Linked DNA regions of Ovis aries. The protein of the gene in region 1 interacts with the protein of each later gene in a biochemical or structural test. Links are inferred from orthologs where the notes say so. Each region holds a gene or a part of one and is shown in the gene's direction. Other genes may lie near its edges. The genes, in order: CDKN1A, CCNA1, SKP2, CCND3, SCML2, PSMA3 and CASP3.

Evidence for each region.
Region 2: the proteins of CDKN1A (region 1) and CCNA1 form a complex in vitro, tested with the Homo sapiens proteins (2 studies listed by BioGRID and IntAct, with this or other methods). The link is inferred for Ovis aries from reciprocal best matches to the Homo sapiens genes CDKN1A and CCNA1.
Region 3: of the proteins of CDKN1A (region 1) and SKP2, one has a biochemical effect on the other in vitro, tested with the Homo sapiens proteins (3 studies listed by BioGRID). The link is inferred for Ovis aries from reciprocal best matches to the Homo sapiens genes CDKN1A and SKP2.
Region 4: the proteins of CDKN1A (region 1) and CCND3 form a complex in vitro, tested with the Homo sapiens proteins (2 studies listed by BioGRID and IntAct, with this or other methods). The link is inferred for Ovis aries from reciprocal best matches to the Homo sapiens genes CDKN1A and CCND3.
Region 5: the proteins of CDKN1A (region 1) and SCML2 form a complex in vitro, tested with the Homo sapiens proteins (2 studies listed by BioGRID and IntAct). The link is inferred for Ovis aries from reciprocal best matches to the Homo sapiens genes CDKN1A and SCML2.
Region 6: the proteins of CDKN1A (region 1) and PSMA3 form a complex in vitro, tested with the Homo sapiens proteins (4 studies listed by BioGRID). The link is inferred for Ovis aries from reciprocal best matches to the Homo sapiens genes CDKN1A and PSMA3.
Region 7: of the proteins of CDKN1A (region 1) and CASP3, one has a biochemical effect on the other in vitro, tested with the Homo sapiens proteins (3 studies listed by BioGRID). The link is inferred for Ovis aries from reciprocal best matches to the Homo sapiens genes CDKN1A and CASP3.

Annotation. Positions count from the first base shown.
Region 1 is NC_056073.1:10,679,769-10,683,496, forward strand, and holds CDKN1A (cyclin-dependent kinase inhibitor 1), read left to right. Parts: upstream 1-1,307; coding exon 1,308-1,743; coding exon of another isoform or gene 1,744-1,940; exon of another isoform or gene 1,941-3,178; coding exon 3,179-3,228; downstream 3,229-3,728. UniProt on the Homo sapiens protein: Plays an important role in controlling cell cycle progression and DNA damage-induced G2 arrest. Involved in p53/TP53 mediated inhibition of cellular proliferation in response to DNA damage.
Region 2 is NC_056063.1:25,417,567-25,421,855, reverse strand, and holds the start of CCNA1 (cyclin-A1), read left to right. Parts: upstream 1-1,489; 5' UTR 1,490-1,624; intron 1,625-2,152; exon of another isoform or gene 2,153-2,844; 5' UTR 2,845-2,868; coding exon 2,869-3,033; intron 3,034-4,289. UniProt on the Homo sapiens protein: May be involved in the control of the cell cycle at the G1/S (start) and G2/M (mitosis) transitions. May primarily function in the control of the germline meiotic cell cycle and additionally in the control of mitotic cell cycle in some somatic cells.
Region 3 is NC_056069.1:38,233,650-38,237,668, reverse strand, and holds the start of SKP2 (S-phase kinase-associated protein 2), read left to right. Parts: upstream 1-1,219; 5' UTR 1,220-1,399; coding exon 1,400-1,443; exon of another isoform or gene 1,444-1,527; intron 1,528-1,941; coding exon 1,942-2,213; intron 2,214-4,019. UniProt on the Homo sapiens protein: Substrate recognition component of a SCF (SKP1-CUL1-F-box protein) E3 ubiquitin-protein ligase complex which mediates the ubiquitination and subsequent proteasomal degradation of target proteins involved in cell cycle progression, signal transduction and transcription.
Region 4 is NC_056073.1:15,737,031-15,741,330, reverse strand, and holds the start of CCND3 (G1/S-specific cyclin-D3), read left to right. Parts: upstream 1-1,500; coding exon 1,501-1,698; intron 1,699-2,597; coding exon 2,598-2,813; intron 2,814-4,300. UniProt on the Homo sapiens protein: Regulatory component of the cyclin D3-CDK4 (DC) complex that phosphorylates and inhibits members of the retinoblastoma (RB) protein family including RB1 and regulates the cell-cycle during G(1)/S transition.
Region 5 is NC_056080.1:16,602,931-16,606,430, reverse strand, and holds part of SCML2 (sex comb on midleg-like protein 2), read left to right. Parts: intron 1-984; coding exon 985-1,055; intron 1,056-1,886; coding exon 1,887-2,121; intron 2,122-3,500. UniProt on the Homo sapiens protein: Putative Polycomb group (PcG) protein. PcG proteins act by forming multiprotein complexes, which are required to maintain the transcriptionally repressive state of homeotic genes throughout development.
Region 6 is NC_056060.1:68,603,469-68,607,544, forward strand, and holds the start of PSMA3 (proteasome subunit alpha type-3), read left to right. Parts: upstream 1-1,276; 5' UTR 1,277-1,338; coding exon 1,339-1,359; intron 1,360-3,974; coding exon 3,975-4,057; intron 4,058-4,076. UniProt on the Homo sapiens protein: Component of the 20S core proteasome complex involved in the proteolytic degradation of most intracellular proteins. This complex plays numerous essential roles within the cell by associating with different regulatory particles.
Region 7 is NC_056079.1:14,236,275-14,239,492, reverse strand, and holds part of CASP3 (caspase-3), read left to right. Parts: intron 1-1,231; coding exon 1,232-1,360; intron 1,361-1,677; coding exon 1,678-1,853; intron 1,854-2,196; coding exon 2,197-2,317; intron 2,318-3,218. UniProt on the Homo sapiens protein: Thiol protease that acts as a major effector caspase involved in the execution phase of apoptosis. Following cleavage and activation by initiator caspases (CASP8, CASP9 and/or CASP10), mediates execution of apoptosis by catalyzing cleavage of many proteins.

The DNA of each region.
Region 1 (3,728 bases):
GACATCCTTGGGAAAGGCCCTCAGCCCACAACACCTGTCAGCTGCTGTCTGAAGGAGGCGGTGGCCCAGGTGGAGTGATGGGGAGGAGTCAGCCAGAACTAAAGGCAGAGAGAAATAATATTCTCCAAACACTTTCTCTGTACTTGGTACGGCTCAGAGGGCGTTATCTACAACCGCTTAGCGAATTCTCACATCTGGCCTCTGAGACAGTCGCTGTTGTTATCTCCTTCTAGAAATGACACCAGAAATAGATGTCCCTTTCATCATAGGCGACTGGAATGTAAAAGTAGGAACTCAGGAGGTACCTGGAGTTACAGGCAAGTTTAGCCTTGGAGTACAAAGTGAAGCAGGGCAAATGGAGTTTTGCCAAGGGAACGCACTAGTTACAGCAAACACCCTCGTCCAACATACACAAGAGACAACTCTACACATGGAAATCTCCATCTTATACAGGAGGAAAACAGAACCCAGAGAAGTTAAGCCACTTGTCGAAGGTTGCCCAGCAGAGCCTGGATTCCAACCCAAGTGGCCTGGTTCCAAAGCCCTCACCTTGAACCACCAAGATACAGCCGTTGAACTCTGCTCCATCTGCCTTGCCTGGCGGGGCCCGCCAATCATTTCCTTGAGCCTGCGTCTACAGCCCCACTCTTTAGACATGTATGCAGTCCCATTTTACAGATGAGGAAACTGAGGCCGGGGGACTTGAAGTGACTCTTTGAAAGTTGAGGTAGGAAGTGGCAGAGCGAGGACTAGAACCCAGGTGCTTTTAACCCCAAAATCCAGAGTAGTTTTAAGTCACTGAGCAGGATTACTCCACATGAGCATCTAGATGGAGGGATTTGAGAGGAGGCATCCATTTTCTTGGGAATTGACCTCCCCGGCCAGGCCTGGAGTTAGGAAACTGCTGGACTCTGACAATTCACACATACCTGGGGGCATTCACACCCATGAGGGACACCTCAGTGGGAAAAACAAATTGATTTTAGCTGATAACACCCAGTGGTAAACAGGACCCTGATCCCTGCTATTGCAATAAACTTGCCTTTGTTGACATAAACTTGCCCTTCAGCTGCCCACTCCCCCAGTGACCTGGGGGTGTCAGGCTGACTGACTCTGCCCCTCACACCCTTTCTGTGGGTGGAGGTTGGGAGAGCCTGTGGGAGGAACCCGAGAGCCCCTCTCACCTCACTTTCTAGTAAGGAGACTGCGCCTGAGGTTACGCAGTGGCATGGCCCAGAGAGGGAGCGTCCGACTTCCTGAGTGTCTCACGTGCCCCGGGTCTTCCTTGTGTTCCAGCCACAGGTGCCATGTCTGAGCCGTCCAGGGACGCGCATCAGATCCCCCGCAGCAGCAAGGCCTGCCGCTGCCTCTTTGGTCCAGTGGACAGCGAGCAGCTGCGCCAGGACTGCGACGCCCTCATGGCCAGCTGCGTGCAGGAGGCCCGAGAGCGATGGAACTTCGACTTTGTCACCGAGACGCCCCTGGAGGGGGACTTTGCCTGGGAGCGTGTGAGGGGCCTCGGCCTGCCCAAGCTCTACCTGCCCGTGGGGCCCCGAGACGATGTGGGAGGGGGCAAGCGGCCGAGCCCCTCATCCGCCCTGCTGCAGGGCACGTCTCAGGAGGACCACTTGGACCTGTCGCTGTCCTGCACCCTCGTGACTCGCTCCCCTGAGCGGCCCGAGGGGACCCCTGGTGGGCCTGGTCCCTCCCAGGGCCGGAAACGGCGCCAGACCAGCATGACAGGTGAGGACGGGAGCAGAGGTGGCGGCAAGGGATTAGGACTCCCAGAACTCACTGTGCCAGGGCTGACCTGTCTGGCCCAGCTTACTCATCGCTCTGAGGGGTGGGAAACAGGCCCAGAGAGGGGAAGTGGCTTGCCTGAGGTCACACAGCAAGTCTACTACCAAGACCAATTAGCTGACATTTATTTGGAACATTGACTATGTGCCAGGACCTTTGATAAGTGTCTAGATTTCTTTTAGTCCTTATAGTGATCTAATATCATAGGACATTCTTGGCATCCTTTTACAGGCAAAGGAACAGGACTCTGAGAGGTAGAATGGTTTGCCTTAGGTCCCACACTGAATTTACCATGGAGAGTAAATGAATGATAATTTCCTGGCTGCCTTATCCAAACCTAACTCGCCTTCCCCTTCATACATACACACCTTCACCTGCACTTCCTAGCCTATTTTTCTCTTTTTGGCACTTTTTAAACTATCAACAGCTACTTCCATATTTTGATATAGTCCATCTTCCCAAATAGAATCCTATCATCTCCACAAGAAAGAAATCTGTATCTCTCTTGTTCATAATTGAGTCCTCAGCACCTTGGATGGTGTGTGACACATAGTAGGTGCTTGAGGGAAATGGAATAAGTGAGGCTGGCAGTTGAACACTATGCCAGGCCTTCAGCCAACGTCTTTTTATTTTTTACTTTACAAATGTATTACTGTTATTATTTTGGCTGTACGGCTTGTGGGATCTTAATTCCCTGAGCAAGGACAGAACCCAGGCCACCTCTGTTGAGCGCAAGGAGTCTTAGCCACTGGACCACCAGGGAAGTCCCCACCAAGGTCTTTCCGGAAACATTTCATTTAATCCTCTGAGCATCGTACCAGCGTTATCCTCATTTTATAGGTGAGGAAATGGAAGCTTGGAGCAGTGCAGCCAAGAATCCCACAGCACATTTGCAGCTGGGTCAAAACTAACAATAATGATAATAATAATAACTAACCTTTATATGGCTCAGACATCATGCAGAACGCTCTCTGATATATCAGGCTCTGCAAAGAAGCAGATGCCCAGTACCGCTGGCCACATATCACTGCTGAGTGTTTGCCATGAGGAACTAAATTTTTCTATTAGTCTAATGCTAGTTAATTTAAACAGCCGCCTAGGGTTAGCGACCACTGCATTTGGGCAGCTTGGCTTAAAGCAGGCCCATGCATGTAAAGTCTGTTATTGATCACGTCTGTGAAGCGTGGGGGGATGTCCTGTATGTATGTAGCCCTCCGGGAGAGAGGCTAGAAGTTTCCAGAGTTCTTCCCTATACTTGGCAATGTGTCTCTCGGGCCCTGGGGAGGGGTCCCTGGCCCCTCTGCAGGTTGCACTGCGCAGGTGGCTCTGCTGGGCCCTCTTCCTCCTGACCTGGCTGACATCTGTTCTCTCCCCCCAGATTTCTACCACTCCAAACGCAGGCTGATCTGCTCCAAGAGGAAGCCCTAACCCCGCTGCTGGAAGCACGTCCTCGTGGAAACAGGGGCCCACTGCAGGCCTCTTCTGTACCTTTTGCCTTGGTCCTTCAGTTTGTGCGTCTTAATTATTATTTGTGTTTTAATTTAAACGCCTCCTCTTGTACATACCCTGCTTGCTGCCACCCTTCCCACACCCCCAGCCTCTGGAATTATTTAAAAAAGAAAAAAATTAGCAGAAAAAATAGGCTTATTAGATTGCTAGGTATTTTTATTATATGAACCGTTATTTAAACCCTCCTCATTCTTTGCTCGGAGAAGGCAATGGCACCCCACTCCAGCACTCTTGCCTGGAAAATCCCATGGGCGGAGCAGCCTGGTAGGCTGCAGTCCATGGGGTCGCTAAGAGCTGGACACGACTGAGCAACTTCACTTTCACTTTTCACTTTCATGCATTGGAGAAGGAAATGGCAACCCACTCCAGTGTTCTTGCCTGGAAAATCCCATGGGCGGAGCAGCCTGGTAGGCTGCAGT
Region 2 (4,289 bases), on another chromosome or scaffold:
GAAGAAAGGATGAGTATGAGGTTTCTGGTCACTTTCCTCAATCAAGTAAATCATATCAAAAGGGATGTACAGAGCATCAGGTCACAGGAGGGCACAGAAGTGAAAGTGAAAGGCACTCAGTCGTGTCCAACTCTTTTCGACTCCAGGGACTATAGTCCACCAGGCTCCTCTGTCCATGGAATTCTCCAGGCAAGAATACTGGAGTGGGTAGCCATTCACTTCTCCAGGGGATCTTCCCAACCCAGGGCTCAAACTGGGTCTCCAGCATTACAGGAAGATTCTCTACCGTTTGAGCCTCTAGCTCCTGCCAAAGTAACCCTGGCTCTTGGAAAGACCTGCTCCTGAGTCCCTAACAGAGTCCACCCCTGACGCCTTTAGAGTCTCCAGAAGTCACAATAGTGTGGTCAGATGATGGAAGCCTCCCCAGAAGACTTCCAAAAGCAGCACCAGATGAGAAGGGGGCAGAAAGGCTCTTTTCCTCACCAGATAGCAGCACCTTGCAAAACCAAGCATTTGGGGCCTACCTACATATGTTGCCACAATTTGAGTTGTTACCAGAGCTGCTGTGTTGCCTTCATATCCGAAGGCATAGGAATTCCAGGGTGCAAAGGGATCGCTGCTTCCCAATGAATGAAAGTGGGTAATAAATGTGTAGAAGTTAGTTTCACATTAAAATCCATTTCTATTTTCCTTGGGCATCCAGGAGTGATTTGCAAGATGCCTCCTAACTGCCTCTTAACACCTGATTCAATCGCTTTCATCCTCATTTCCTGTAGAATACTTCAATTTTCCCATTAAAGTAATGCATACACATCGCTGAGTGAGCCCATTAATAAAGAATACTTAAGAAAAAACTGGGAGAGGTGTAAGATTAGCAATTATTTTCATTCAAAACAAGGAAGAAGGAAATAACGAGTTCTTAAAAAACGACCATTTGAATGGTTTCCATTATCTGTTTTATGGATGGGAACTTAGAGATGGGAATATTTAAAAATTAAAAACAGACAAAAGCAGTAACGTGTGTGTGTGTGCACAACAACATTTTCAAAAAAATAATAAAGGTAAAGATTCTTATACTTGGCTCTCTAGTTACCTCTGCAAGTTCCAGGGCTCCCTAGTTTCCAAGGACCCCCCCCCCCTTCCCTTCCTGCGTGGCCAAGGCCCCTTCTCCCTACCCTCACCTCTTACCCCCAAATTAGGCCCCCTGCTTCCACCCTACCCTGCCGCGGACCCCGGATCCAAGGATTTCCTTCCCACGTGACCAGGCCACCTGCCCAGTCCCTGGTTCCCAGCCTCCCCGCTATCCCCTCTCAACGTCCCAGACCCCGTCGCTGCCACTCGCGTTCCTTCCTCTTCCTGGGCCAGCTTCACGCTGGGGCTGCCGGAACCGTCGAGGAAGGTCTCTCTCCTGGGGACCTAGAGCACCACGTGCGACCCTAAAACCCCAGGTCTCCTCTCCCGCCCTGTCGGGTTACATGCACCGGAACCCAGGTCGGCCAGGCGTGGCCTCCGGTGCGCAAGGACCCAAAATGACCGAGAACACGCCGCCACCACGGACTGAGGCCGCGACTCCAACCAGAGGCCCGCTCGCTGCCACTTGGCTTTTCTCTGGGAGTAGGCTTAGGTGTGTGAGCTGGGGGAAAGGGGAGTGAGCCGCGCTGTCTGCCCGGCGCGGTCAAGGCGCCGCGGCCTCAGCAGCCCCGAGGGCCCCGCGTCGCCCTCCCGGGCCAAGGTTCTCAGGAGCGGGCCGCGGAAAAGACGTTAGCGGGAGGAGTTAGCGGCTGTTGGGGAACCGGTTCAAGTAAAAACAGTCCCTTCCAAACCCCGGCCATCGCGGGGCGGGCCTGCTTCTTCCCTTACAGATATCGGCCACAGTGGGGGCGTGGGCCGCGGCCACCGCGGCCGCCCGCCCAGACACGCCCGGGCAGGGCCGCTTAGGAGGGGCTCAGGGCCGCCGCCGGTTGGCCCCACCCAGCCCTGAACGCCCAAGGGTCGCGGTGCGTCCTCGGGTGCTGAGGTAGCCATAGAGATGAGGCCGCAGAGCGCGCACGCCCCCCTGCGGTTGGCATGGAAACGGCCCCCGCGAGGCCCGGGAGCTGCGCTGATTGGCCGATTCAACAGACGCGGGGGCCGGCGAGGGGCGGGGGGAGTTGAAAGTAATTAGCTCTGAGCTGGGCAGCAGACGCTGGGAGCCCAGCGCCCCGGCTAGAATCTATTAACACCTCCGTCCCCTTCCGCCCCGCCCCGCCCCGGCCCCGCCCCCTTCATTGGACCCTTATTCCCAATCCTCGTGTGCATTTGCTAATTGTTCGAGACTTATGTGTAAAGAGATAAGACTGAGAAGAGCGAGGTCCGCTGTGGGTTCCAAGCAGATTTTGGGGCCTTCTGTCTTGTGGGAGGAAGGCCGCGGAAGAGCACTCTGCTTGTCACTTGAGAAGGGGACGTACTTTCCCACAGTGATGTATCCTGGGTCACTGGTTTGCAGGGAAGGGGGTGGTGGAGTAATGGATAAGCATCACAGCCAGGAAAGACACGGGCTTGTAGGTTTGAACTCCCCACTAATGTGGGGGTTAGTGTCTTGGCTTGGAGGTTTGTCATATTCTTCTCTTCTTCCAGCCATCAGCCAGGTATTGGAAGAAAGGCTGGAGAGATTCAAATCATCGTTTTGGTTTAAAGCGGCTTTGATCACTTGCACTGTGGCTCAGGCCCTTTCAACCCTAATAACAGCAAGGAAGATCATGTGTCACAGGGCTGTGTCTTCTAGAGAGTCTCAGCATCCTTGGATCCTTATCCTTCGTGGAAGAGGCTGACTAACTGGCTTGTCTGTTTCTCCTTCCTTGACAGCAGTAAGCTGTGGAGACTGAGGCTATGCATCTCAGCAGCTCCAAGAGTGGAGTAGTGCTGGCTCCAGTGTCCCGAGGTCCTGATGCCTGTCAGATGATAACCAGAGGCCAGTTCGGCCAGGATCCGCCACAAAGAACAGTACTAGGAGTGCTAACTGAGAATGGGCAGTACAGGAGGACCTGTGGCCAGGTAATGCCTGGGAAGAGCTGGGAAGGCCCCCGTGTCTTGGTGGGAAGTGGGATCTCTTGAGATTTTCTGCACAAACTCCCCTTGAGTATTCAGCCCTGGAATCTGGCCTATAGGGGCACTGATTTTTTAAAAGAGCACTTTGTAAGGTCCCTTTTTCAGCTAGCAATATTAAATAATTTTCTTTGTTATTAGGAACTGTTTAAGTCAAATATGTGTAAAGTCACTTAAAAGAAAGTGAAAGTGAAGTCACTCAGTCGTTTCCAACTCTTTGTGACCCTGTGGACTGTAGCCTACCAGGCTTCTCCACCCATGGGATTCTCCAGGCAAGAATACTGGAGTGGGTTGCCATTTGCTTCTCCAGGGGATCTTCCCGACCCAGGGATTGAACCTGGGTCTCCTGCATTGCAGGCAGACGCTTCACCCTCAGCCACCAGGGAAGCACTTAAGTTCCGGGCTAAAAGGACATTGTGAATGCACCAAAATAAACTATTGTTGTTCAGTTGCGAAGGTGTGTCCAGCTCTTTGCGACCCCATGGACTGTAGCCTGCCAAGCTTCTTTACCCATGGAATTTCCCAGGCAAGAATACTGGAGTGGGTTGTGATTTCTTTCTCCAAAATTAACTTGTGGTACTGGTGTTTCTCTAGATCAGAATGGTATTCAGATTGACCTAGGCTGTGCCCTGAAGCATCTCCGATAACCTTTAAGTTCATTGGTGATGGTATTAGAATCAGGATTGGATCCCAGCATACTAGATTACTTACAAATGTGTGCTTTGAAAGTCAGCTTCTCCCCAGGACTGATAATGGACAGTTGGGCAGAAGATCATGGGCCATCTAATGTCCGGTTGCTTGTGCTTAATTAATCATAGGCACCTCCCTTAACAGAATGTAAACAGAGGGTAAATAAATTCAACACTTAAAATGCAAATAAGGAGTTTGGATCCTTAAGAATGAATTTTGAGATTAAAAAAACAACAACAACAAAACTTCCTCAAGTCTGTCATCACACCAGCTTCTCATAAGCTTGTACTGCATATCTATTGGCGGTAGTATAGTGGAGTAGGTGGGCAGGTATCCTTTCCATTGTACAGGTGAGAAAATTTGAGAGGTTTGAGAAAGCCTTCCCACCCAAATAAAAGTCATGATGGAGGCCAGATCAGAAGCTTCTCATCTACTGACTACTCCTACTCCTCTTCTACACAATGACACAAGTCATTTGTGTCTTGGTGGCATCTGGTTAGTGGGAGAAAATTACC
Region 3 (4,019 bases), on another chromosome or scaffold:
AAATAAGAAGGTATGCCACACAGCATGCTTAAGTGATATTCTAGTATTTTTGTGATGACGCTGGGTGCTTCTTTCTGAACTTTATAAATCCTCTCCATTTTTACTAGGGTTGGAAGTTATTCCCCCTCTCTCTTCCACTGTTTTCCCAGGCTCGCAGTTATAGAACATTTGCACAATGGATTTCGCACGGTCATCCTACCCAGAAAATGGCACTCTCTAACCATCTCCAAACTTTTCTCCGTGGATATAGTCTAAAAGCAAGCAGCTGACTTTTAGGACGTGAGGCAAACAGAATTTTTTTTTTTTTTTTTTTTGAGACAGTAATCGAATGGTTTTGCTGGTGGCCGCTAGCGTGGCACGGAAAGCCTTTTGCAAACAATAGTCACCTTATTTGTTCTCATGCTAGCATTTATGAGACTTCTCAAGGCTGCCGGAGATGCTGAGCTTTCCCCTGGCACTCACAGCAATCTCCTGCTCCCCTAAAATTAAACCTCCGCCTGACGTTTGAACCGCGCTTTCGTTTACAAAACGCTCTCACGAGCCTCCTCTGATTTGACGGCGACTGTGAAACGAGCGTTCTTGCCGTGGTGCCTATTTTACACGTAAGGAAAGGATCCTGTCCACAGACCTAGTCCTTAGGGCCGCCCTCACCCGGGTGGAGTACGCAGCTCCAGGCAGAGAGGGGAGCAGGTGTGACGCCCACGGCCGCAGCCTCTCACCTGGCCGGCAGGGCGTGCCACGGCCTCCACTCAGCTACCTGGGACGTAGGCCCCGCGACGGCGGCCTCTCGGGGTCTCCGGGGCCCCCCTCAGTCCGCGCTCGGCCCCACACCTCAAAGTGCCTCACGCTCTCCTCCTCGGGCTCACCGTCCGATCTCGCCGGACAGCGTCCAGAAGGGCCTGGAAACCCCGCGGCCGCCACAGCCTTACAGGGTTTGGGACCCACACTCCTTGGCGACAGCGGCGGCAGTCACCAAAAGGTCGGGGGGTCCCGAGAAAGGAAACCCGAACCCCAGTCAAGCAGCTGACATTTCCCCAGTTAGCCGGAGCACCGCCCACTTCCGCTTCCCCGCCTACCCTGTGGGTCGTCCGGTCCCGCAGCCGCGCGGGGTTGTGGGTATCTCGAAGGCGGCAAAGCTGCAAGGAAAGGAAGTAGTGGCGAGGCAGCCGGACTACCAGGCTGGGCAGAAACTACAATTCCCAGCAGGCAGCGGGGCCGCAGACGACGGCTGCGGAGGAGAGCCGGCTGGCTGGAGAATTCTGCGCGCGCTGCTGGGATGGAACGTTGATAGAGTTCGCGGGTTTCGCTGCAGCAAGCCGGGGCCGCACGCAGTGCGCCGCACGCAGTGCGCCGCCGCGCGCCAAAGCGGGAATTCGGGGGGCGGGCACCTCTGCAATTAATGCACGCATTTAAAACTCCCGAACCTGCGGACGCCATGCACAGGTAAACCGATTGCAGAAGGAGACAGAACATGAATGGACCGTCTTAATTCTTTTAGGCCGCGTGTTTTGCTACTTGGCTAATATTGTTAGTAATGCTGTAATGTGAATGGCTGCTTAGCCTCTTTGGGAAAACGTGGATGGGTGGATGCTTTAGTGCGGTGGTCAGCGTGGATGTTATTTGTCTTCCCTTATTGGGCTTTCCTGCTGCTGTTTTCAATCAGTGTGTGATTGCCCTGCCTCTTTCCTTGTATGTTCCCTCCACTTTTAAGAAATTCTTGAGGCCTTCTGCATGATCGGAAATCGAAAAGCCTTTTCGATGTGTTCGGTTATTTTCTCTTTTATTCTTGGGGACTCGCCGCCGGCACGTAAAAATGCAGTTCAGTTAACTGCTGTGAAAGCTTTCTGCGGTGCATAGCTTGCAGCTTCCTTTAGGCCTGTCTGGGAATTATTTACGGGCGTGTTTTTGAAAGGAACGTGGGGCTATTGTGCGTTTCTGCAGGAAACACCTCCAGGAGATACCCGACCAGAGTAGCAACGTTACCACCAGTTTCACGTGGGGATGGGATTCTAGCAAGACTTCTGAACTGCTTTCAGGCATGGGGGTCTCCGCCCTGGAGAAGGAGGAGGTGGACAGTGAGAACATCCCCCAGGAACTGCTTTCAAACCTGGGCCACCCACAGAGTCCCCCACGAAAACGGCTGAAAAGCAAAGGAAATGACAAGGACTTTGTGATTGTCCGCAGACCTAAGCTAAACCGAGAGAACTTTCCAGGTAAGGTTTGAGGGTAAAATACAAGCCCAGTCAATGGTGGATTAAATTGACCGGTTATTTTGTCGGTAGACCTTTGTTTAGGGTTATTTAGCATGGGGTGGGGCCCTTCTAAAGAAATTGTAATTTAAATTTATTTATTTATTTTTGTCCGTGCTGGGTCTTCCTTGTTGCCCCGGCTTTTCTCCAGTTGCAGAGACTTCTCTTTGGGGGAGCATGGGCTCTAGGACGCAGGGGCTTCGGTAGTTGGAGCACGTGGACTCGGCAGTTGCGGGTTCCAGGCTTTAGAACACAGCCTCAATTACTGTGGCGCTGGGGGCTCAGTTGCTCTGCTGCGTGCGGGATCTCTTCCCAGATCAGGGATCGAACCAGTGACTGCTGCATTGGCAGGCAGATTCTTTACCTCTGAGCCACCAGGGAAGGCCAGATAGGGTCCTTTTAAAACTGCCCAATTCCTAAGTTATTTTCCAAAGAAACCAGACCACTGGTTGTGCTTACAGAAATGGTGGTATGTGTGTGTCTTCAGAGACAGAACTGACTTGTAACCGGTGAAAAGACATTCCTTCCTTTTTCTTTAGGAGGGACTCTGCCTGGTTAAGGGCCAGCTCAATACCTCTGACAAATAGAAACAAAGCAATGATCCATAGAATTCTTTTTGTTTATATTTGGCTGCTCTGTAGCCGCTGTTGAGCCTTTTACCATAATCACTTTAGTTATTTATCAAAGGACTGCTGAAGTGAATGTTGAGCTAAGGGGGAGAGACTCATCCTTACAGATCCATTCCCAAGAGGAATTCTTTATGCTGTCTCCATCACTCACTGTGTTATCTGTTCAGTTTCCCCAACCCCATAACCTAAAGGTCAGTCAGATTCCCACCATCCCCCCCCAAAATCCAACCAATCATTGAATCTTTCCCTCTTGTCTCCTAAATATTTCTCATATTTAGGAAGGGACTCATAATTCAGAGCCTTATCCTCCCCAGATCCATCCCCCAGAGCTAGAGTGGACTGATTGAAATGTAGAACTCCACTACGTCATTCCCCTCTAAATAGCTCTCTGTTTCCAGGCTTCTCAAGCTGATTTATAACTGCCTCCCACCGTGGATCAGAGCTCCAGGAATACTCAGAACCATAGGGTAAACATAGTGCGTTGACCTGGGGTTATCAGTTTTTCTTACTGGCAAGCCATGTAAAACATTAATTCAGCAAATATTTGCTGAGCACATTGCGTCTGCTAGGCATTGTTCTAAGTACTGGGGATATAGCAGTGAGCACAATAAAAGCATTTCTACCCTCATGGAGCTTCTCTTCTAGAAAGAGGATGCAGTATGCACAAATCTGGTGTGTAGTATGTTAGAATAAGTGCTATGGCTAAAAACAAAAATAGAACACGCCTAGAGGGACAAGAGATCCTGGGATGGGAAGCTGGTTTGCAGGATATTGAAGAAGCCTCACTTGGACAGTGAGCTGTAAGCAAAGGCATAAAGGAGATGAAGGAATGTGCCATGCAAATATCTTGGAGAAAAGAGCCCCAAGCAGAAGGAGCAGGTAGTGCAAAGGCCCTGGAGCAGGAGAATGATGTGTTTGTTCAAGGAACAGCAAGGAAGCCATATTCCAAGAGTAGAACAGCAGAGGGGAGAATAGTGAGAACTGGGCTAGAGGTACAGTTGAGCAGAGTTGCTATGTAACCTTTGAAAAGGATACACTGGTGTCTTGAGACTAAACTTTGAGGGCTTGAGGATAAAAGCTTAGAGACTTGTTGAGAGGTGTGAGAGTGGTGCTAAGCAGCTTCTGGATAGATTTTGATATT
Region 4 (4,300 bases), about 5.1 Mb from region 1:
GGACAGGGAAGCCTGGCATGCTGCAGTCCATGGGGTCTCAAAGAGTTGGATATGACTTAGTGACTGAAGGACAACAATCTGGATGGTGAAACTGCCAGTACTTACTCTTTACTTTTTTGTGTGACATTGGTATTTTCTGTCTTCTACAATGCATTGAATATTTCCGTGATATGCAAACAGCAAAAAATTTATTGTATAAAAAAGAACAATTCACTGGGATAATGCTTAGCGCAGGACTGACCTCTTTCTATAGAGTGTCATTTCTCTAGTAATTAACTTCCTTAGTGTCTCACCTCCTTGGAGGACCCCAGGAAAGGCAGGGATCCCCATGGCCTCCTGCCATTTGGAGCATTACTGGAGGCTTGTGGTGTGTTTGCCTCCTGGTCACGCGGAATCCAGCTCTGGAAACGCTGCAAAGTCCCAAAGCTTGGGAGGTAAAAGTGGCGCCTGAAAGATTTTATACAATCTGAGCAAGAAACTCCTCTAGAAAGGAGGCAGTTTCTCCGCCCATCATTTCCTCAAACGGAAACTAAGGCCAACGTCAGGGTTTGTCCAAGGCCACACACCCAACTTAATGACAGACAAGGTGAGGCCTTGAATCCATGACCCTTCCGCCCTGTTGTAGTTCTCAAGCGTGCGGATTTAGGACTGTCTCTTCTCACACTTTAGTGTGTACAGGAATCACCAGGGATCTGGTTAAAGGCAGATTTTGATCCAGTAGGTCAGGGGATGGGCCTGAGGTTCTGCTTTTCTGACCCGCTCTCAGGCTGGTTCGGGGATCAGTTTAAGTAGCCACGGGGTAGAGCAGAGATTCTGGGGGCAGACCGTCGGCTTCCCAATCCTAGCTCTGCCGCAGACGAACTATTATTATAGTTACTGCTTCAGTTTCCTCAACTGCAAAATCAGTATAAGACCTAACCCACAGCTTCTTCATTAAGATTTTAATAAGTGCTCAGACCAGTCTCCCCTAAGATCTAGCTATTTTATTATTATTTACTTTTCCTAGAGCAAGCAGCGGGTGAAGTAGAGTTTGACGAATGAATGAATAACCTTTCGGGGCGCCTGGAGTCGGGAGATGCAAAAATGGAAGGGCTCGGAGGTGGGGGCGGGGGGCGAGGAGAGGCCCACCTCCAAAGCACACTCCTCTAGCACCGGGTGGTCAAAAGGATCCGGAGCGCCCGGAAGCCGGCGGCCCGCGCCCAGCCGACCAATGCGGTCGCCCGGGGGAGGGGGAGCGCCCGCCAGCCCTTTCCGTCCGGGCGCCGGAGGCCCCGCCCCCGGAGCGTCGCGACGTCTGAGCATTCCACGGTTGCTACTCGGTCTCGAGGGGCGGGGCGCCTGTCAGGGAAGCGGCGCGCGCGCGGCGGCGGGGGCGGGCTGAGGCTCGGCCGCGCAGTGCCAGCGACAGCGCCACAGTCCCGCGCCCCGCGCTCTCCGGCCCGCCGCCTGCGTTCTGGCTCCCGAGCCCGCACTCCCGCCCTGCCCGCGCGCTGCCCGAGGATGGAGCTGCTGTGCTGCGAGGGCACTCGGCACGCGCCCCGGGCCGGGCCGGACCCGCGGCTGCTAGGGGACCAGCGTGTCCTGCAGAGCTTGCTCCGCCTGGAGGAGCGCTACGTGCCCCGCGCCTCTTACTTCCAGTGTGTGCAGAGGGAGATCAAGCCGCACATGCGGAAGATGCTGGCGTACTGGATGCTGGAGGTACCGCCTGGGCGGGTCTCCCCTCCCCCGTCACCCCCGCGTCCCGGGCTCCGGACATCCCGGGGCCGCCCTGTCGGGACATCCTGGTCCTCAGCAACAATCAGCAAGATGTTTCTGTGGCGCAGATCCCCGGGGCCTGGACTTTTCACTCGCGCGCCCTTAGCCGGCTGCCTCGGTGCTGTCTTTTTCTTGCCCTTCTCTGACCCTGACCGCCAGGCATTTGGCACCCCCAAATAACCCTGTCTTCGGGCGGGGAAAGCGGGGCGAGGGCCACCCTCTCCCCTCTGACTTCTCTCAAAAGCCTCCCCCCGCCCCCACCGCACGCCCGGTCTTCTCTGGAGAGCGCGCCTGGAAAACCCTGGGCTCGGCCGCCCCCGCCGCAGAGCTGGTTCCTTGTGTGTGTCGCGGGGGTTCTGGCGGGGAAGCCGGTGGGGGTGGCGCGCTGTTCCGGCCGTCAGGGAAATGGAAAGTGCGGGAGGCAGCCGCTGGAGTCTCCTCCCTTCCTTTTGGGTGTGTGCACTGGGTGGCAGTAATGGGGGTAAGGTCCCAGTTCTCTGGCTTCTATGGGTGACTCTTCCGAACCCCTCTCCCTTGGTACGGGGGGTGCAGATCAGCCTCAGTTTGGATTCCTGAAGGAAGGGAGCCTCTGGCGTATCCCGCTCCGCCCCCCCCCCCCACTCCCACCCCCGGGGAAAGGAGGCACCGCAGAGGAAGTGGGAGGGTGTCACCTTGGGGAAGGCGCATCCTGCGTGTTAGTCCTTGTCACTGTGAGTACACCTACCCCCTCCCGTGTCTTGCTCCCCATTCCACTTCCCTTCAGCGCACCGCACCCCTCGCCTTTAGTTGCTGCTGCGTTTCCTAAGCCTCTGCCCCCGAAGTGACTGTGCGCCCTCCCCCAGGTGTGTGAGGAGCAGCGCTGTGAAGAGGAAGTCTTCCCCCTGGCCATGAACTACCTGGATCGCTACCTGTCCTGCGTCCCCACCCGAAAGGCGCAGTTGCAGCTCCTGGGTGCGGTCTGCATGCTGCTGGCCTCCAAGCTGCGCGAGACAACGCCCCTGACCATCGAGAAGCTGTGCATCTACACCGACCATTCTGTCTCCCCGCGCCAGCTGCGGGTGCGTGCATACCCTCCCCACCTGCCAGCACCCCCTGCCTCCTTCCTAACGTACCAGGATGGGGGAAGCTGAGACCTCGGGAGGCTTTCTGCCCCTGTGCAGGGTAGCAGCTTTTTTTCTTTTTCTTTTGACAAAAGATGGGACAGTGTGGTGTGATGGTCAGGGTGGCCCCAGTTCAGGCTTGCACTCCCAGCATGAACCAGATCCCCTGTCTTGACCTCCAGGGGGTGCCACTCCTTCATGGTCTTTCCCCCAGATAGCAACAAGTCAAACTGCATGTCTACACTCACCAGAACTTTGCCTCTGGGTTTACACAGCCACCAGGAGTTATTTATTGGCAGCAGCAGGGCATGCCTGTGCACCCCCACTGGAGTGGGGGAGTGGAACGTGCTTCACGTGGGGGAAGGGGCCGCCCGGGTTGAATCTTGTCTCCCAGTGTGTGGACTTTGTGATCAAAAAGTCTCCCAGAGCTGATTAAAGCCAGGCCCCAGCTGCTGTAAGGAAGGGCCGAGGAGTTCCATCCCACTTTGCTTCCTTCCTTCCTTTTATATCCCAGGAGAACCAGCTCCTTCCCTCATTCTCCATTCCCTAGTCTCACCCTGAGAAATTGCTCTCAGAAGCAGCTGCTTCAGGCCTGGTGGAATCATCTTTTCCCCTTTAGCCAAAGGCAAGTGCTGAGGCACAGACTGGGGCTGAACTGCAGCTGCTTCCGATGTGATAATGATGCCCTCTCCCCTGGCCCACCCACCCTGACCAAGGTCTTTCATAACCCTGTGGGGAGCTGCTGTCACTCCTGTGGTTTGGGAAGTGGCTCCCTGGGCCTCTTGCTGGGAACTTGGGCTGGGCTCTTCCCGAGGCAGGGCAGGGGAGTCATGGTTCTCTTTCCCCATTGAGCCTGGAGAGGAGGTGGGGAGTTGCTTGGATTTGGAAGAGGTTATTTGGGAGCGTGCAGATCATCTCTCGGGGGACCCAGGGGAGAGGGGTGAGCTGGCACCTTCCTCCATCTTGCTCTACAGCAGTCGAGTCTTCTCTTGACCCGAGAGGCGTCTCTGGGCCCCATCTCCCGGGGAGGAGGGCAGCGTGCTGGCTGCTGTGATTGGCTGGCCAGGAAAGCCAGGGTACTGGGGCCCCTGAGTGCTGCTTGTCGGGGAACGGGATTCCTCTTCCTGCCAAGTAGCTCTCGGATATGGGAGTAGGAGGCCAGAGCTGGGAATCTGGGAGGCTCCACAGCTCTTTGTGATGAATCTGGTAGTTTGGGGCAAGTCTGAAGGTGGAGCTGGTTTCCAGGGCTAGAGAGCAAGATGTTTCTGAAGGAGTTTGGGCTGGTGGAAGGGGACTTCATTTTTGTGAAAAGATGAGCATGGGATGTGTGCCTTTATGTGAGGGCAGTTTTTCAGAACAGGCCAAAAGTCCTCTCCTCCCACTCCCCCTGCCTGAGCTGGGGGTGGAGCGTGCCGATCGATGACTTCCTAGAAGGTCAGAGTTGG
Region 5 (3,500 bases), on another chromosome or scaffold:
GGAGGGAACTGTGGAGCCCTAATATTTTTATAGTAAAGAGATTAATTAAACAGGGAGTATAGAAAAAAAAAAACCCTCATGTTTGATGAGAATTAAAGTTTATATGAGTTAATAGTACCTTTAATACTGCTGTCAAGTCTTTCAGGGCATTGTGACTGACACAGTCAATTGAAGTGTCCGGGAAAAGTGTACTGCCTTTTGACCTTTACTTCTAGCATTATATGTCATCAAGACTAAGTGAGAGAAAGAACAGAAGGAGTTTGCAGAAAATATAGATTGTTACAACAATCTGTGTTAGTCATTGCACTGATGACTGGTTTCTGCTTTATTCTGCCACCATATTCTGACACCCTGGATGGAGATCTAATAGTCAATTGAGAAACAACGCTGGTTCTCAGAGTTTTTCTTTCCATAAATTAATGCTTTATTTCTGCTATGCCACACACCTTTAGATCCCTGTGAAAAACAAAGAAATAGCTTCAGAATAGTGAGATGAAATGATAAAGACATATTTTGAGTAAATTAGTATTAGAGACATATGAGTAGAATTTGCTATTACGCTATAAAAAGTCCTTTAGTTGTTTCTAGAGTTCACGTTTTTAGAATCACTGTGATGCAGTCCTCATTACATCAAGAAAATCTGGATTATCATTTATATCAGAACCATTATTATCAGGAAATGGTCTTATTTTTTATTTCCATGCTGGTAGTCAGATGAGGAAGTTTGTATTTGTCCTTTGAGAAGTATTTCTTTAAAGAGATATGGAACTAAAATCCATTTTATTCCTGAAAGTTAGTATACATATTATATATGTTTTAAAAACCCTGAGAATTCTCTGGCAATCCAGTGGTTAAGACTTGATACTTTCACTGACATGGGCCTGGGTTTGCTGTCTGATTGGGGAACTAAGATCCCATAAGCTATGCTGGTGGGGCCCAAAAATAAACCAAAAAAACCACCTATTTTTGCATGTTTTTTTCCAGATAATTTTCAATGGGAAAAATACTTGGAAGAGACTGGATCTTTAAGTGCTCCTTCAGAGTATTTCAGACAGGTATGCCAAAATTCTGTAGATACCATGTTATATTTATTTTTGTAAACTATTAACTTGTTGAAGGGAATCTGTTATTAGGTTCTATTAGTGTGAAGCAATGTGGGATTGTGGGAGTGCTGCTTAAGAACCAGATGGTCTCTTCGCATTCATTGATTAAGAATTTACTTTATGTCAGGTATACTAAGCTCTTATGACTGCCCATCTGGAGGGAAAGGTAGCCATGTAAATAATTAATGATAAAAAGTGTGATAACTATACTGGAAAGGACTCACAGAAGAGGTCCTATCTGAGGTAGTTGTAATGAGGGGAAGGATATTCCAGGCAGAGAGAACATCCAAAGGAAAGAGACATGGGCGTAAAAGAACCTGAGTGTTGAGGGATGGTATGGGTGGCTGGAGCACTAAGTAGATAGAGACCTAAGTATGGGAGTGAGGTTAAAGTGTGGTGGCTTTTAAACTATACTGACTGTTTGGACTTTACATTAGGCAGTGGTAAGCTGCCTTTTGGCTTACTTTAAGAGTAAAGGCCTAATCAAATTCTTATATTAGAAAGGCACTCAGGATGCATTTTAGAGGTTGTATTTGGTTTGCCTGGAAGTGGGCAGATGAGTGAGTGACAAGCAGTGGGCAGCCATGTCAGGCTGTGTGTCAAGCCAAGGAGAGAATTTGGAGATCTTTTTGTTAACCCTTACAGCTCTCATTTTGTTCACCAACTGTTGTAACTGTTACTTAAAATGTTCCTCATGTATTCTGGTAACATAACTGACCGTTTGATTTTCCTACAGTTAAAGAGTTTTAACAGAATTTTATTTGTATGTGTTTATGTATATAGTCTAAGATTCCACCAGCTAATGACTTCAAAGTTGGCATGAAGTTGGAAGCCCATGACCCTCGCAATACGACTTCAGTATGTATTGCTACAGTTGTTGGAGTTACAGGTGCCAGGCTGCGTTTAAGATTGGATGGTAGTGATAACCAAAATGACTTTTGGCGGCTGGTTGATTCTCCAGACATACAGCCTGTTGGGACATGTGAAAAGGAAGGGGACTTACTTCAGCCTCCACTGGGTAAGGATAAACAGTTTTAAAACAAAATATTTTTGCTAATGTAATATTCAGTAGAAATAATTTTAACTGACCCTTTGAAAATCTCTTCTCCTAGGCATTCTGGCAAACAGACGGTCAGGTGGTTACTGTGGAGAAGGTTTGAGAAAGTAACTCAGTACCATATGTTATAGAGTTTCATTTAAGTACATATTTTGGCATATGTGTGGCTAAAGGTTCCCACTCCAGAGCAAGACTCCTTCTGCCTTAAAACTTGAAATGTCAAAAGCAGATTACACTTGCAGATTCAGAAACCCTTCTGGGGGAGAAGTTTGTAGCATTCGATATGAGTCACTTCCTCCCTCAGTATTGTCTAATGAGCCATTCATCCTTTTTGTTATGGGGATTAGCATGGCAGAAGGAGATGATTTTACACTGGGACGCCAGTGTTAGGCTTGGGAATTTCATTACACCTGTATGGGAAGAAATCATAGTGAGAGGGGTAGGAATCAGTTACTTTAGGTCTTTGTAAAGGAAGAGATTGATGTAACACTTCAGCAAAGGTTTTTAATATAAAATTCTTGATTTTAACCAAGTTTTTAAAAGAAACAAAGTACATGACCCTAATTTTGTGCAAAAATTTTTCTGTTTTAATACTTTGGTGTACCATGGTATTCTGTAGAATATAAGTATTTAGTTTATTACTTGCACATTCTGAGTGAATGGTGGGTATTGGTTTTTGTTTCTTTTTTATAATGCTAAAATGTAAATGCTCTATTATAATGCACAGTGAGACAGTTAATTTTTTTTGTCTCCAACTAGTGAAAGAAGCTGTGAGAATAAAAAATTTAAGACAGTAATAACTGTTTTTTCTAATAACATCATTTTATATTGTCTTTCTTCTAATGGTTAATTAATACTAACTTGGTTTAAAGTATTTTTAAAAACTAATCAAGTATGTGTTATTCCCAAGAAGATGGTTTAGGATATGTGTGTTTTCTGCTTTTCCCCTTTTCTTCATAACATTCAAATTTTTTTATTGCTTATTTTTATAATATCTTAAATCATACAGACTTCTGTAACAGATATACATCTGAGGCTTAGTGCTTCCATGTTTGGGTTTTATTTCTCTATTGACAGTATGCTAGTATGTGTTTGTATTTTGTTTAAAGGAAACAGCTGTGGTGATTGTCAGCATTTCAGACACATAACCAAATTTATAATCATTATTTTTTCAAATTACTTTTTAGAGTTTATTAATTAAAAATATGAAATATATAGCAATACATGCTGACTAGTATGCATTGTGATACCACATAATAAAAAAATACAATTTTTGCCAATTTGCTCATGAGATGCTTTTGAATAGTTTAGTTTCCATTTTAATATAACACAACTTACAT
Region 6 (4,076 bases), on another chromosome or scaffold:
TCTTATAAAGCAAATGTTTTTTGTCAATAGTGTTAATGCCATGAAATCTAAAGAAATATTAAGAAAGTGTTTCCAGATTAAAGGAGACTAGAGACATGACAACTGAATACAACATGTGATCTTGGATTTTCTTTGGCTGTGAAGGGCATTATTGAGGGATTTGCCAAAATCTGTAAACAAAGTCTGCAGATTAAAAAAAAAAAAAAGGAATGGTACTTTTCTATTTTCACAGTTACAGTGTGGATATTTAAAATGATGTTCTTTTGGGGGAAATACACACGGAAGTATTTAGCAGTTTAAAAAATGCTGACAGCTTTCCATTTAAAATCAGATTAAAATTCGAACTATTATGAAATCTGATTCCATATCCACCTCTCTGATTTCATTTCCTGTCACTCTCTCCCGCTTAAGGCCATACTGACCTGACAGTTCCTATAAGCCAAGCTTATACTGAGATAACAATCCCAAATTTCCATTTAAGTATCACCCATTCGGAAAGTCATTCCTTAAATAACAGGTTTAAAGTTCAAACGTCCATTGTCTCTCTCTCTTTTTTTTTTTACCAAAAGGTGCAACTATTTGCCCATTTACTCCCTGTTGCTTGTTTCTTCCCATTGAGTGTAAAGGATGAGGTGCCGTCCCTTTCATCGTTTCATCAGCAGGATGTAACTTGAGTATTTGGGACATACAGAGTTCAACAAATAATATTTAATCAAGCTTATCCTCAATTCTACTAGAGTTATACAAAGGGTACTAATCCTGTAAAATTCCGACCTAAGCCCAGAGGTGATACCCTTAGAATGCAAGAATACAACTTTCTTCCTTCTTGTTAGAATAGGTGGATGATAGGGTTGCTTCAACATATTGGGTTAGAACCAGGCCGCCAATGGTGGAGGGAGACCTCTCCCTTACCGTTTTCTCTGGCCTTTGTAAGGGTATGAGAACATCTCTCCGTTTTGCTTTAAAAAAAAAAAATAAGGAAGCGAAAGAGAAGGATAAAAGATAAATAATAATTCTAGGAAAAGGACTGGCGGAGCTTCTCAAGCAACCAGAAGACAGAACGAATCTACGAACTCAAACCGAAGACGAAACAACCAAGAGCCTACCTAACCCCGGTGAGATTGCTTTTGCACATGCGCGTTACTTGCCGGGTGCATTTCCCGCCCCCTCCTTTCCCACAATCCTCTGTTCCGTGGACCAACGCTCCAGGAACGAGCTACAGAAAAGACTATTGGTTGAAAGAATAGTCAATGAGAGAGCTTGTTACTAGTCTCTTACTGTGGTGCTGGGGGATCGCTTTAGGCCTGAAGCCATAAGCGTCCTAGTGATTTTGGCACCATGAGCTCAATCGGCACCGGGGTGAGTTCTTTGTTTCTCTGTGTGATAGGCTAAGGATTAGCGTGGAAGGGAACGCAGACAGACCGCGGTGGGTGCGCGGACTCGGGGTCCTCTGGGACTGCCTGGGGGCAGGTGGGCCGCTTCCAGTTGTGCAGTGCCGGACGGTCTAGGCCCGCGCCTGCGGTGACCGTGACTTGACGCTTCTCAGCTCAGGTGTAGCGGGCTTGGCCGCGCAGCAGTGAGATTTGGAGCCTCTTTAAAAGGTTGCTGAGTCACTTTCTTTAGCCACTTAGGGAAACCGAAAGTGGAAACTCTTGAGGCCTGAAATGGTGTGTGTGCACGCGCTGTGAAGGACTTGGGCAACAATTAAGCTCTTGAGCACCACTGAGGCAAGGAGGCTTAAGAGTCCAAAGTTTGTGACGCCGCTTTCCAAGAACCTCTCCCCGCCTCCCCACCCTTGCGGTTCCTGGGATGCTGCTGACTCCCGGGGATTCTCTGCCTTAGCTTCGAGGTTACCGATGGACCTCTCTGTATGAGTCCCTGAAACCTTCTGAGAACTGACAAGGAAAATTGTCTAAAAAGCGGAATCTGAAGAATCTTTTACATTTTTCCGTTGTCCCAGCTTTTCTCCTAGAGGAATAACAACAGTGTGAGGTCTCGGCACCGTAAGCGTTTAAATGATTAGCTACGGACTTAACCGCTTCTTTGAACAGACTGTCCAGGATTTTGGAGTTAGATTTGTTAACTTGTTCGGCCTACTAACTTTCCTTTGTTAAACGTACTGCATATATACAGTCTTCAGCTTGTTCCTTTTATGTATTTCCCCATATAGAAAACATAGTGTTTAGAAATATTTATTCATTGGTTCCACTAGAGGCATTGGGTAATGGGTTTCTCAGTTCATCTACTCCCATTGTGCATTAGATTTTGATTCTCACCATTAGGCCCAAATACTGGTTTTCCGAGTTAGATAATAGACAATTTATACTAAGGTTGTCATACTGTTTTTGGATTAGTTGATGCTCATTGACTTTGCAACTACATTAATATTACCCTGGATTAATAGTGTTCTGAAGGGTTCTACAAACATTTTAAAAATATTTGGTAATATAAATAGGTGATAAATTTTGAGTATTACGGTGGTAAAGATCTTCGTTCGGCAGACCAACAGACCAATTACCCTAGATTAATAGTGTTCTGAAAGGTTATACAAACCCTTTAAAAATGTTTGATAATATAAATAGGTGAGATGTTTTGGTATTAATGCTGGTAGAGTTAAAGATCTTCCTTTAACAGACCAACAAGCTGAGAGGCAAGAAACACCACTATTGAAGACTTAACGCTTGTCTTGTCCCAAGAACTCCAGATGGGAAGACCTGTCTTGACATTTCTCTCCACTTGATTATTTGATAGGCATTTCAAATGACACGTCCAGAGTAGATCTCTGAGTTTTCTTCTTCTGTTGCCATTTTGCATCTCCTACAATTTACATTTCAGTGAATGGTTCAATTTTAGTTGCTTAAATGAAAAAAAAAAATCTATGGTGCACTTCTGAGTTCTTTTTTACTGTATTCCTAAAGCCAATCCATTAGCAAGGTTTTTTTGACTGCACACTCAAAGGGTAACACCTTCCACGTCTTTCTCTCTTGTCTAAGACACTCCCTTTGGATTACCCTATCTCTGCTTCCACTCTTGTTTTCTCTGTAATTCATTTACCAGATGAACAGCATTTAATAAAAAATTAGAACCTCTTCCCCTCACCCCACCCAAACTCCAATGACTTTCTATTGCATTTAGAATAAAACGTAAACTTCCTGTTCCAGCCTAAAATAAAAGACTTAGCATAACTTGGCCCTTATATGCCTCTAATATAGTTTACTGTTCTGTTTACCATTTATGGTGCTCAAGATTCAGTGGCATTATTATTTCCTTTTCTTAATTTTGCTGCTCTTGTTTCTACCCTGAGTTCTTTTATGCCAGATGCCAGGACACTCCTCCATATTCTAAATGAGTAGTTACTTGTCTTTTAGGTCTGGCTCAGCTTAAATAACATAAATATAATTTCTGTAGCAATGCCTTTCCTGATCAGGTAGTCTGTGGTATTCCCTGAGACCATAAGTTCACTTTGTCTTATTTTAGAACCTTTTATCTCCAGCACCTGGATCTGTTTGAGGTCTGATTTGAAAATGAAGGACTTTAAGAATGAGTAGTCTTTGTATTTTCTCATAGTGACTGACATATAATAGATGCTTATTAAATATCTGAATGCTGAATGATGTATCCAAGCTCCTTTAGTTCATTACTGCCACAGCTATGAGAAGCTGTGGTACTAAAGAGAAGCCAGTGTTGTTTCTACACTGGTAATGGTAATTTTTTCAGAAATGAGCCATGTTCTGTGTGGGAAAAGTTCTGACTTTACCCAGGACTTGTGTTCATTGCTTGTCAATAGCAGAAATCTAGTGTGTAACTTTTCTCTTAGCTGCTGTTCCTGCTTTGACATACTTTCCCTTTCTCTTTACAGCAAAATCTTCACTGAGATTGAACATATATTTCTGATGTGTAAACCATTTAGGAAAAAATTGTTATTACTGCCAAAGGTGCATCCTTCTAAGCTTGTTATTGCCTTTTCCTTGTAGTATGATCTGTCAGCTTCTACATTCTCTCCGGATGGAAGAGTTTTTCAAGTTGAATATGCTATGAAGGCTGTGGAAAATAGTAGGTAAGAAACAATGTTTTAC
Region 7 (3,218 bases), on another chromosome or scaffold:
GCTGGAAACATCTAGTTGTTTGGGTTTTTTTTTCATATGTGTTGCTGTTGCTGCTGCTAAGTCACTTCAGTAGTGTCCGACTCTTTGCAACCCCATAGACAGCAGCCCACCAGGCTCTGCTGTCAATGGGACTCTCCAGGCAAGAACACTGGAGTGGGTTGCCATTTCCTTCTCCAATGCATGAAAGTGAAAAGTGAAAGTGAAGTCGCTCAGTCGTGTCAGACTCTTAGCAACCCCATGGGCTGCAGCCTACCAGGCTCCTCCACCCATGGGATTTTCCAGGCAAGAGTACTGGAGTGGGGTGCCATTGCCTCCTCCATATATGTTAAGTTTATCTGAGTGCCTTCCCCCTGCTATGCCTAATACTTTAGATTTTTAAATCTGAGGGCATTGTTCAGTCAGTCCATACATGCATGTGGAAGGTGCTCTAAGGGATGAAGAAAGTCCAGGACTACGGGGTACAGGCCACACAGCAGCTGCAGAGCCTTGTTCGAGTTCTGCTGGACTCTTCTTGCTGTGGGTCCCACATCTCTGCAGATGAAGCCGGTCATGATCATGGTTTCATGGTCGTCGGAAGGCTTAGACGCTTTTGAACAGTGTTAATGTGGCCTAGTGGTTTATGGGGTTTTTTTTGTTTCCCCCAAAAAGATACGATGAAACTACTGATGTATCTTAGAATTGTTGAAAACTTAGAATCAAAGAAATAGTTGCTCTGAGTGTGTGAGGTGTGTGTTGATATATACGTCTGTGTATGGTGATGTGTATGTGTTTGTGTATGTTTATGTGTGTGTGTATAATTTTTTCTTAAAAGTAGGATCCTTTTATTTTCTACTCTTTTTTTTTTCTTTTAATAATAGTGACCATTTTCCTATGGCAAAATTTTGTCTACAAAATTTCAGTGGCAACATAATATCCCATATTATAAATGAATTGTAATTTATTTAACCAAACCTCTCTTTTTAGGCATTTAAGTCATTTGTTTATCACTATCTAAGCAGCTGTGAAAAACATCTTTGTGACTGTAACAGAGAACACAGATAACAGATTATATCATGAAGTGTCTTGTATACGAAGAAATGAAAGCGACTTAGTGTCACCACTGTCAGAATATTGAATTTCCTTAGCATTTGAAAGGAAGAGTTTCTTGTGGATTGTGTGGATCCCTGAATAGTTCATTTCAAAGCAGTTTATCTTTTTTTTTCATGCAATTAAAAGTAGCTTTCTGTTCAAGGCATGGCCTGTCGGTCCGGTACAGACGTGGATGCAGCAAACCTCAGGGAAACCTTCACGAGCTTGAAATACGAAGTCAGGATTAAAAACGATCTTACACGTAAAGAAATGTTGGAATTAATGAGCGACGGTAAGAAATAATGAAAAGAATGACCTTCATTTCCAATGTATGTACAATCTAGCTATAACCTACATGAAAGTAAAGCATGAGAATTGTGAAACTAAAGAGTACACAGCCCTACTCTGTACATTTTATGTAAGTCCGAGTTATTCATACCGACTCCCTAGAGTAGTCTGAGGTGTGTTGCTCTGCTGCTCTGCCCCAAGCTGGGCTTACACGATCTCTTAGTTCAGTTCTCAGATTTCTTCATCTTACTCCCATACAGTACATATGAAATTGTTGAATAAAATTGCATTGGTTTTTTTTGCCTATAAATGTTTTTCCAGTTTCTAAGGAAGACCATAGCAAAAGGAGCAGTTTTATTTGCGTGCTTCTAAGCCATGGTGAAGAAGGAATCATTTTTGGAACCAATGGACCCGTCGATCTGAAAAAATTAGCAAGTTTCTTCAGAGGGGACTGTTGCAGAAGTCTGACTGGAAAACCCAAACTTTTCATTATTCAGGTAATAGATAACTGAGCGATTTGGTTATTGAGGCTTCTTTAGGGATTAATTTACTCCATTGTGGATTATCCAAAGGATTTTTAATTTTTTTTTTCCTTGAAGCTACTAAACTATTGCTACTTTTTTATTTATTTAAACCACTGCTTAGGAGACATAGCATAAACTTTAATTTTTAGACTTCTAGCAAAATGATTCTTAATAATTAACATCAGTTTTTATAGAGCCTTTGCATTTCTTAGGGATAAGTTACACATTTATGCATGTACACACATTTTTTTCCAATAAATGTTTCTTTTCTTTTTTTTTCTAATTTTTAAATAGGTGTTTATTTTCTAACCTCTAGGCCTGCCGAGGCACAGAACTGGACTGTGGTATTGAGACAGACAGTGGTTCTGAGGACGACATGGCCTGTCAGAAAATACCAGTTGAGGCAGACTTCTTGTATGCATATTCTACAGCACCTGGTAAGAAACTTACAGATACTGAAATAGGTAGATTTTAAACACTGAAGAGTGTGTTCCAAAGGCTATAGGGATTTTGATATCCATAAAAAGCCACTGTGTCTTGTTTTAGGGTGCCCTAACCACGGAGAAGTCTCAAAAAGTTGTCTTTAGCCCAGTTTGGCTAGAAAATGTGCCTGTGTAAGAAAGCACATTTGCACAGTGTCATTCATGAACTTGACACCACCTGGAATCCATATTATAATACAGGCCAAGTCAGAGCTTCGCCCACTTCCTAAAATAGGAGAGAGGTGTGTTTTCCAGGAATTCTTTGGGAGCTAGGAAACTGAAAGGATAAACATGAATAGCATATCAGTGGGTAGAAGTGGAACAAGAGAAAATAAGGTTAAAAATGATTTATGGCTAGGTTATCAACCTGCGCTTTGTCTCTGGTTGTATTACACGTTATGTGTGTGAGCGCTTGTCATCATATAAATTAATATATATTGATCATGGACTTGTTTACTCATACAACTAACTCAGGGTGTGTTTGGAAATACAGGGCAAGTGTATTTTTAAACAGTATAACATTTTTAAATATAGTTGATATGATTTATTTTAACCTCCAGGCATCTTTCCAGTTCAGATTAAAAGCAGTGGATCCAGGGACTTCCCGGTAATCCAGTGGTTAAGACTTGGTGCTTTCACTACTGTGGGCCCGGGTTCCATTCCCAGGTCCAGGAATTAGGTCCCCCAAGCCACTCAACGTGGCCAAAAACACAGCAATGAATCCACTAGTTTATCTGGGAAAATAACGATAAATACACTATTTCCCCTTTTTGGACTTTTGAATATGCTATAATGTGTTTATTATACTCCATTCTTTCCCTGTAGACAAATTTAAGACCCTCAAATGTATGTGCGT